Linked DNA regions of Macaca mulatta. The protein of the gene in region 2 purifies or fractionates together with the protein of the main gene of each other region. This does not show direct contact. Links are inferred from orthologs where the notes say so. Each region holds a gene or a part of one and is shown on either strand. Other genes may lie near its edges. The genes, in order: MPHOSPH6 and ZFC3H1.

Region 1 (4,484 bases), on a different chromosome or scaffold from region 2:
AACACTGTTTCCTCTATTTCACGGCAGTCACCACTTACTTATGTCCAGAATATCAGCTTCAGGAAAGATGAGGATAGGTGTTTTTACACGCTATTATACCCCGGCATCTCACACACAGTCACAAGTGAATAAGATTCCGTAGCCACTTAGTACATTACAATGATTTTATTTACTCCTGGGAAAACCTCAAGGGCTTTTAACATCCAAATCGGTGTTTGAATTTCAGCTCTAACATGGATTAGCTGTGTGAATTCCACCAAGTCCCTTACCCGCTCTGTGTCTCAGAATTCCTAACAACACGATGACAATACCTTCTTTCCGGTTCTTAGGGAGATTAAGCGAACTAATTACCCATAAGGTGACCAGGTCAAGAATCTGACATAAAATCTATGCTATCAGCTGAAATGCTATTAGCTTGAGGGTGTTCCAAAGCGTCGGACCTGGGAATGATTTTTGAAAACGTGTTTAGTTGGTACCCAGAGCATTAAACACCAGGGTATGAATGCCACTCTATTTTCAGTGGTTTTTAAAATTCTTTTTTGTTTTGTTTTTGAAACAAAGGCTTGCTCTATAGCCCAAGGTGGTGTCCAGTGGTGGGATCTCAGCTCACTGCAGCCTCGACCTCCCGGGTTCCAGTGATTCTCCAGCCTCAGCCTCCCAAGTAATGGAGACCACAGGTCCGTGCCACCACACCCACCTATTTTTTTTTTTTTTTGGTAGAGATAGGGTCTCACTATGTTGCCCAGGCTGGTCTTTTCAATTCTTTAGATCAAAACCAAGCCTTCTTCTCATTCAGGTGTCTTTGGCACCCATCCCTGCCTCCATCCCTTGCAGTTTCTTCAGATTCTTCTGTTTAGCAGGGATCACTCGGCCAGACACGCACCGGCAGCAGCCCGGGGATGAAGCCAGCCCGCCTGGGGTGGCCCCCGCCACGCTCCCCGGGACTCAGGGCTGCTGTAAGGAAAGCAGCAACTCGTAGGGTCCTGGTGAAGAGCAAACGACCTGGCCCCTGCACAGGGACCCAGAACACAGGAAGCCCGCCATCCACGTTAGGAAAACAATACACGTGGGTAACCAGACCCAGGCGGGTGGCACGCGTGACGCAAACCTGTGAGGCTGGCGAGGACTACTGAGTCTGAAGGGAGTCTCTGAGGAAGGGAGTCCCTGAGCGAGGATGGGTCCCCGAGGGGGCCAGGCCGACGTCCCGGGAAGGCGGCCCCCGGCTCGGGGAAGCCAGGCTCTGGGTCCTCCTCTGACTTTGGCCTTTTTGGGATCTGCCGCGCTCATCCCCGCGCCACCGCGCCGCGCGCTTACCCCAGCCTCTCAGTCACCAGAGCGCCCGCTGAGTGGCCGCGCCGGCGCGCGACACGCAGCGGCGGGGCCGCGGGGCGGAGCGGGGCGGTGCGCTTTACGAGAGCGACGCAGCTGCGCACGCGGCTCCGCGCATGTGCAGTGAGGCTCGCGGCCGGAGTGCGGCGCTGGGCGGAAGCCACCATGGCGGCCGAGCGGAAGACAAAGTTGTCCAAGAATCTGCTGCGCATGAAGGTGCGGGGACACTGAGAGAGCCATGCCGGGCGATAGGGGCACCCGATCGTTCCGACCTGGCCAGGGCCGAGGCGGCGGGCGAACGAGGGACACCAGAGGGGCCTCAGAGGGCTTCCAGCTCTCGTGCTCATTCATTCACTTAGCGCCTGCTCTGCACTGTTTACTGGGAACCGGGTTACGAATTAGGCCGACTCTCAGGAGGCCCACGGGTGGATGGGAGCTCGCATACACAGGAGCAAGCAGTCAGGGTACAGCTTACCAAGTGCAGTGAGGGTAGAAGCGCCGGAGCCCTGGGAACTCACCCAGCTTCTCGCGGGGTAGTGGTCCCTTTAGGTTCCTGGGAGGGTGGGAGGCACAGCGTCCTAAACTAGGAGAAACCTGAGTTCAGAAGTCCACGAGGCAAGAAAGAAAAAGAAAACCATGGAGATTTCCAAGAATGAGAGGTAATTCAGTATGTCTGGAAGGCAAGTACTAAGAAATGGGGTTGCAGAGTAGGCAGTGGTCACAACGTGCAGGAAATTTGAGGCCAGATTAAGGATATTTTCCTTTATTTTGTGAGCAATGGAAAGCTATTGACACGGGGAACAGTATAAAAAAATAGCAACTATTTATAGTACTAGACAATGTTTTAAGGGGTTTGCGTATATTAACCTGTGCAATTCACATAATGACACTTTGAGGTGACTACAGGCAATAACTCTCTTTTTACAGTTAAGGCAACTGAAACAGAAATAAGTAACTTACTCAAAGTCGCACAGCTAATAAGTAGTGTAGACAGGACGGGAACTCAGGCAGTCTTGCTCCAGAACCCTGGCTCTGTGTTACTTACTCTGTGATGCCTGTCACTGAGCACTACTTATAGAGGGTAGCAAACTGTTACATGTCATGTTTAAAGAGGTCGAATTTCCAAAAGAAGGAAGGAAGCGTTCATAATGTTTTGAAAGATTGGAGAGAGAGGCCATTCGCAGTGGTTCATGCCTGTAATCTCAGCACTTTGAGAGGCTGAGGTAGACAAATCGCTTAAGCCCAGGTGTTTTAAGACCAGCCTGGGCAACATGGTGAAACCTCATCTCTACAAAAGATACAAAATATTCGTTGGGCCTTGTGGCACGCACCTGTAGTCCCAGCTATTTGGGAGGCTGAAGTGGGAGGATCACTTGAGCCTGGGAGATCGAGGCTGCAGAGAGCTGAGATGGTGCCACTGCACTCCAGCCTGGGTGACAGAGGGAGACCCTGTCTCAAAAAAAAAAGAGAGTAAACATTACATGGGCAAGATTTGAATGGAGTTGAGCTAGGATGGAATTAGGAATGAATGGGTGAATGAGGATGCAGGACAAATTACATCTAACTTAGAGTTTGTCAAGCACTTTCATGCATATTAGGAAAATTTGAATCTTTACTGAACAGAGTTTGCTTTTGATTTTATGATTTGTAATAACATTAATTTCAGAGAAGTGGAGTGAACTGGCCAAGCAGATATTGAAAAGATTTTAGCAGTTGTTTTAGCTCTTGGAATAAGCCAGATGATGTACTGGGTGACTCAGGCTCAAACTAAATATCTGAGTTGCAACTAAGAAGGAAGAAATTAACTTAAAACAAGTGTCCACTCCCACCAAATGGGGAGACGCAACTGGACATTGGAAGCAAAGGAGAAGGAAAAAGATCACCCAGATTCTGTATTTGGTTTAGCAGTTTTGGTCATTGATGAGAAAAAACTTACTGGCAAGATAGCAGGAGACACTATCTATACTGATAGAAAAGAGTATACTGTGAGAAGGCATGGAACAGCTGCACTTAGGGTGCCTTAACCAGAGCTAAGTCCTATATAACATGGGTCCCCAACCACTAGGCCACGGAGCAGCACCAGTCCATGACCTGTTAGGAACGGGCTGCTCAACAGGAGGCGAGCAGCAGGCAGCAAGCGAGTGAAGCTTCATCTATATTTACAGCTGCTCCCCATAGCTTGCATTACCACCTGAGCTCCGCCTCCTGCCAGATCAGTGGCAGAATCCTAGATTCTCCTAGGATCAAAAACCCTACCGTGAACTGCACCTATGAAGGATCTACCTTGAGCTCTACTTATGAGAATCTAATACCTGATGATCTGTCGTTGTCTCCCATCACACACAGATGAGACTGTCTAGTTTCAGGAAAACAAGCTCAGGGCTTCCACTGATTCTACATTATGGTGAGTTGTATAATTATTTCGTTACATATTATAATAATAGAAACAAAGTGCGCAATAAATGTAATGCACTTGAATCATCCCTAAACCATCTACCCCTCCCCTCTCCACCACCCATGGAAAAATTGTCTTCCAGGAAACCCATCCCTGGGGACCACTTTTTAGGGCAAGTATGAGAGGGTTGAGGATTTAATCCTGACTCACTTGAAGGCCTTTGACTTGGTCAGCCATTGCAGGATGATCCCGATGGGAAGCAGAAAAAGAAAGATGTGGATGGAAGGTCTTCCAGTATGGAATGGTTGTAGAAAGGGTGCTTATTTGTGATTTTAGTACTGTTAGACTTTTAGAACAGGGCTTGGCAAGCTTTCTGTAAAAGACCATATAATAAATATTTTGGGCTTATGAGCCAGACAGTCTCTGTTACAACTACTCAGCTCTGCCAGTGTTGTTTGGGACAGGATGACCATGGCTGTATCAACAACAACGGACATCTAGCCTGAGGACCATATTGTGCTGTTGCCTGCTGTGAGTCCCCACTGGTTTTGGAGTGTGTTCTGAAATGCCCTAGAGTAGGAGAATCGAACTTCTACCTAAGTCTGGAGGTGCTTGATTCATATTCACAGGGAGTTCTATCCTTTCTGTGTGTACAGAACATATGTATATGGCTATTTTGTATACCAAAGGAATAGGTACATGACTAAATAGGAGAAATAAGGGCAGTTGGGTGGTATTGATGAGTTTTACCACGAGGCAT
Region 2 (3,361 bases):
CACTTATTTCCTCTGGTCGTCCCTGTTCTTTTTTTCCAGGAGAATAGAGAACTTTAATGGTTACTATACATGCATTTTAGTTCAAGAAATATTCAAGATTGATCATACTTTAAGAAAGAAAAATACCAGGAAATTGCATTAGTTTATGGTTACTATACATGCATTTTAGTTCAAGAAATATTCAAGATTGATCATACTCTAAGAAAGAAAAATACCAGGAAATTGCATTAGTATCAAGCCATTAGTTTAAAAAAAAAATGGGATGGGAAATAGGGACTCTTATTTGGAGGGAATGCTTTTATGTCCTATAGAAATACATGCACCTTAGTGTAGTTTGGTAAGATGAGCATAGATCTTGACTTGACCTCTTCATAGTTTGCACATTCCTGTCCCAGGGTAATTTTTGTAAGAGACATTCTGAAATATTTGCTGGGTAGCCTTTATGGAATTTAACTAATCAAGATTTATACTTAATCATTGTGCTCATAGAGCACATTTGGGGTTCCCTACACTGCAATGCTTTGTTCATTTTCCTGAATATACTTTACAGGTTACTTCAGCATGAATGGGAAGAAAGCAATGTTCAGATTCTGAAACTTCAAGCCAAGATGTTTACATATAATATCCCAACATGCCTGGCCACCTGGAAAATGTAATGCAACAATCATGTACATGTTTTTATAGCTATTGCTTTTATTTATAAGGTTTGCTCCAGACAGGTAAAATCTGAAATGACATCTATATATATATGTATTTTTTTTTCTTTTTTTCATGGACAGATTGCTATTCTTAATTTAGATTTGTTTTTAGCATTTACTGAGGTTTAATGAGAGTGAGTACTCATTAAGAATTGCCTCTAAAAGCAAAAAGCGTAGACTTTTAATTTTCTTTGAAGGAGAACATTTAAGTAACAGTACTGTTATCAAACAAATCTGCTACAGTCATTTTAAGACCGCCTCTTTTGAAATGGGGTGTGTCTACCCTGTTATAGTCTGATTTCTTCTTTCTTTTAAAGGTGTTAGTGCTAGGTATTTTTGACTAGTAATTATGAGGTGTTTTGTTTTTGTTTTTGTTTTTTTTTCCTCCCGTGAACGTTATTTATGTTCAAAACACTGGTCTGCTTTTTTCTTGTAAAGTTGATAAAAATTGTTGAATTTTTCTTTTCACTATAGGTTTTCCTCCTTGGAAGTTTAGCCTGTTAACTTTCAGGAAGTTTTGTACTCAGATTCCCACAGTCAGTATTCTGCCAGTGGTGGTGTTTCATTTTGTTCAAAGATATATAAATTTTTCTTTTCCTTTTTCTGTATTCCTTTTTTTTTTTTTTTTTCCTTAGAGCCATTGCTGCTGAGATTGTTCTAAAGGGACAAAGAGAGGTAAGCCATGGTTGAATATCAGATGGGTCACTTTTAAAAAGTTTTTCTGTACCTTTTGTTGACTTCTCAATTTAAAAGAATTAAAGCACAGAAGTTAACATTTCATGCACACTAGGAACCAGGTGGGGAAACAAAAGTAGTTAACATTTTAAGAGCACCAAATATTTGGAAACTCCAAAACTCAGCATAACCATTTTGTCTCAGATGTTACTGTGAATTACCATTCTTTAAACAGATAGAATTATGAAGGTGTTTTTCATTATGTTTTCTGATGGAATTATGTGTATATCTATCTTACAGGTCCACCGTTTATATCAGAGAGCCTTACAGAAGTTACCTCTTTGTGCATCACTGTGGAAAGATGTAATGCTTTTTATCTTTTATTTTATCTTGATGTTTTCCTGTAAATTTTCTGCATGTGCCATATCCATTGATGTGGTAATGCTCAAACTCTAGCTAAGTCTTACTTCTATGCTTCCCTGTCTTTTACAGCAACTCTTGTTTGAAGCATCAGAAGGAGGTAAAACTGATAACCTGAGAAAACTAGTTTCCAAGTGCCAAGAGATTGGAGTCAGCCTAAATGAGCTCTTAAATTTAAACAGTAACAAAACAGAAAGCAAGAATCACTGAACACTGGGTGCAGTCAGTTCTAAGTCCTTATAATAATTGCCAAAATTATTTGAATGATTCTTCAAGATTAGGCTGATCCCTGGCTAAGGTCTATGTAAGGCAGACAAGCATTATTGATCATATCAAGTTCCCTACAATATCCTGTCCTCAAAACCGGAAGCAATGAACATGATCCTCTTCGGTTGGATAAATGAACTTCCTGTTTGGCCTGCTTCTAGGCCCTGCCAGATTCTCATAACATCATATACGTAAGTATAGTTCCTCAAAGTGACTGACATTTATTTTAATTTTGCTTTGTTTTTGTTTTTTATTTTCTCCCCCATTCCTTTATTTTGTGTTATTCCTGATTCACTTGACACTCTCTGATGCCTGAGAGATTCCTGTTTGGGATTTAATATCCAGGGCTGTGTTTACAGTAAAAAAGCAGGCAGTCCCTTTTAGTTTTTCCTTTTTAAATTTTTTTGAGATTCTTCATTTCAGGATTTAAAACTATAGCAGTCCATCTTAAGGAAAGTGTAACTGCCATGGCCACAAGTCTGCTAGTTGCACTTGAATGCTCTATCAGGGTTGTTTATTGCCCTTTCTACGTTCTGGACTCCTTGCCGAGACTGTTTAACTTGAAGATTAAAGAAACTATTGCAAATGCCAGTGCATCAGAACCTAAGAGTGGTCAAATATTATGTGCAATTTTTTTGTAAAGAAATTTTAATTTATAATAAAGTTTAACAGTTTAAAGAACAGTTAATATTTGAACTGCTTTGTATTGAAATACTACTTTGTAGTATTAAAATTGTTTATATACTTTTTTAATATAAGTTAACTTTCTAAAAACTCTTGCTGTCTTTATTCACTTTTCACACTGGTGGGAAAGGGTCGAAGTCGGAGATAAAGATATTTACCATAACTTATACTTTTTTATCTTGAAACTGCTTTCTCATTAAAAAAAAAATTTAATGATTTCTTAATTCATGAGAAGATGGATACTGTTGTGAGGACAGTGAACAGAGAGGTTTGCACTACCATTAAATTCCTTGTTCTCAAATTCACAGTGTTTAGAAGGTGCCTCCCAACTGTAGTTTGAATGATTTGCCTAGTGACATGCCATCTTCTGTTGAATATCAGTGTGATTGAATGCAAAGGAGACCTTGCTTTTTATTTTGTTTTCAGTTTATATTTGGTTGTTTTAACCTTGGCAAGAAAAATGTTAATGACACACACACACCACCACAAGTCTGGTCTTAACAACTTGCACTTGAACTGTTAGAGGCAGAGCAGCAACCCCATGAAATACCAGGCAAACTTGTACATGTTTACATTTGTATAATGCTCACTAAAAATAGAACCATATTTTACCAGAC

The links.
Region 1: the proteins of ZFC3H1 (region 2) and MPHOSPH6 purify together in Homo sapiens (affinity purification with mass spectrometry; 3 studies listed by BioGRID and IntAct, with this or other methods). This does not show direct contact. The link is inferred for Macaca mulatta from reciprocal best matches to the Homo sapiens genes ZFC3H1 and MPHOSPH6.

What each region holds. Positions count from the first base shown.
Region 1 is NC_133425.1:77,532,823-77,537,306, reverse strand, and holds the start of MPHOSPH6 (M-phase phosphoprotein 6), read left to right. Parts: upstream 1-1,484; 5' UTR 1,485-1,494; coding exon 1,495-1,545; intron 1,546-4,484. UniProt on the Homo sapiens protein: RNA-binding protein that associates with the RNA exosome complex. Involved in the 3'-processing of the 7S pre-RNA to the mature 5.8S rRNA and play a role in recruiting the RNA exosome complex to pre-rRNA; this function may include C1D.
Region 2 is NC_133416.1:78,740,374-78,743,734, reverse strand, and holds the end of ZFC3H1 (zinc finger C3H1 domain-containing protein), read left to right. Parts: intron 1-550; coding exon 551-652; intron 653-1,333; coding exon 1,334-1,373; intron 1,374-1,673; coding exon 1,674-1,736; intron 1,737-1,865; coding exon 1,866-2,003; 3' UTR 2,004-2,834; downstream 2,835-3,361. UniProt on the Homo sapiens protein: Subunit of the trimeric poly(A) tail exosome targeting (PAXT) complex, a complex that directs a subset of long and polyadenylated poly(A) RNAs for exosomal degradation. The RNA exosome is fundamental for the degradation of RNA in eukaryotic nuclei.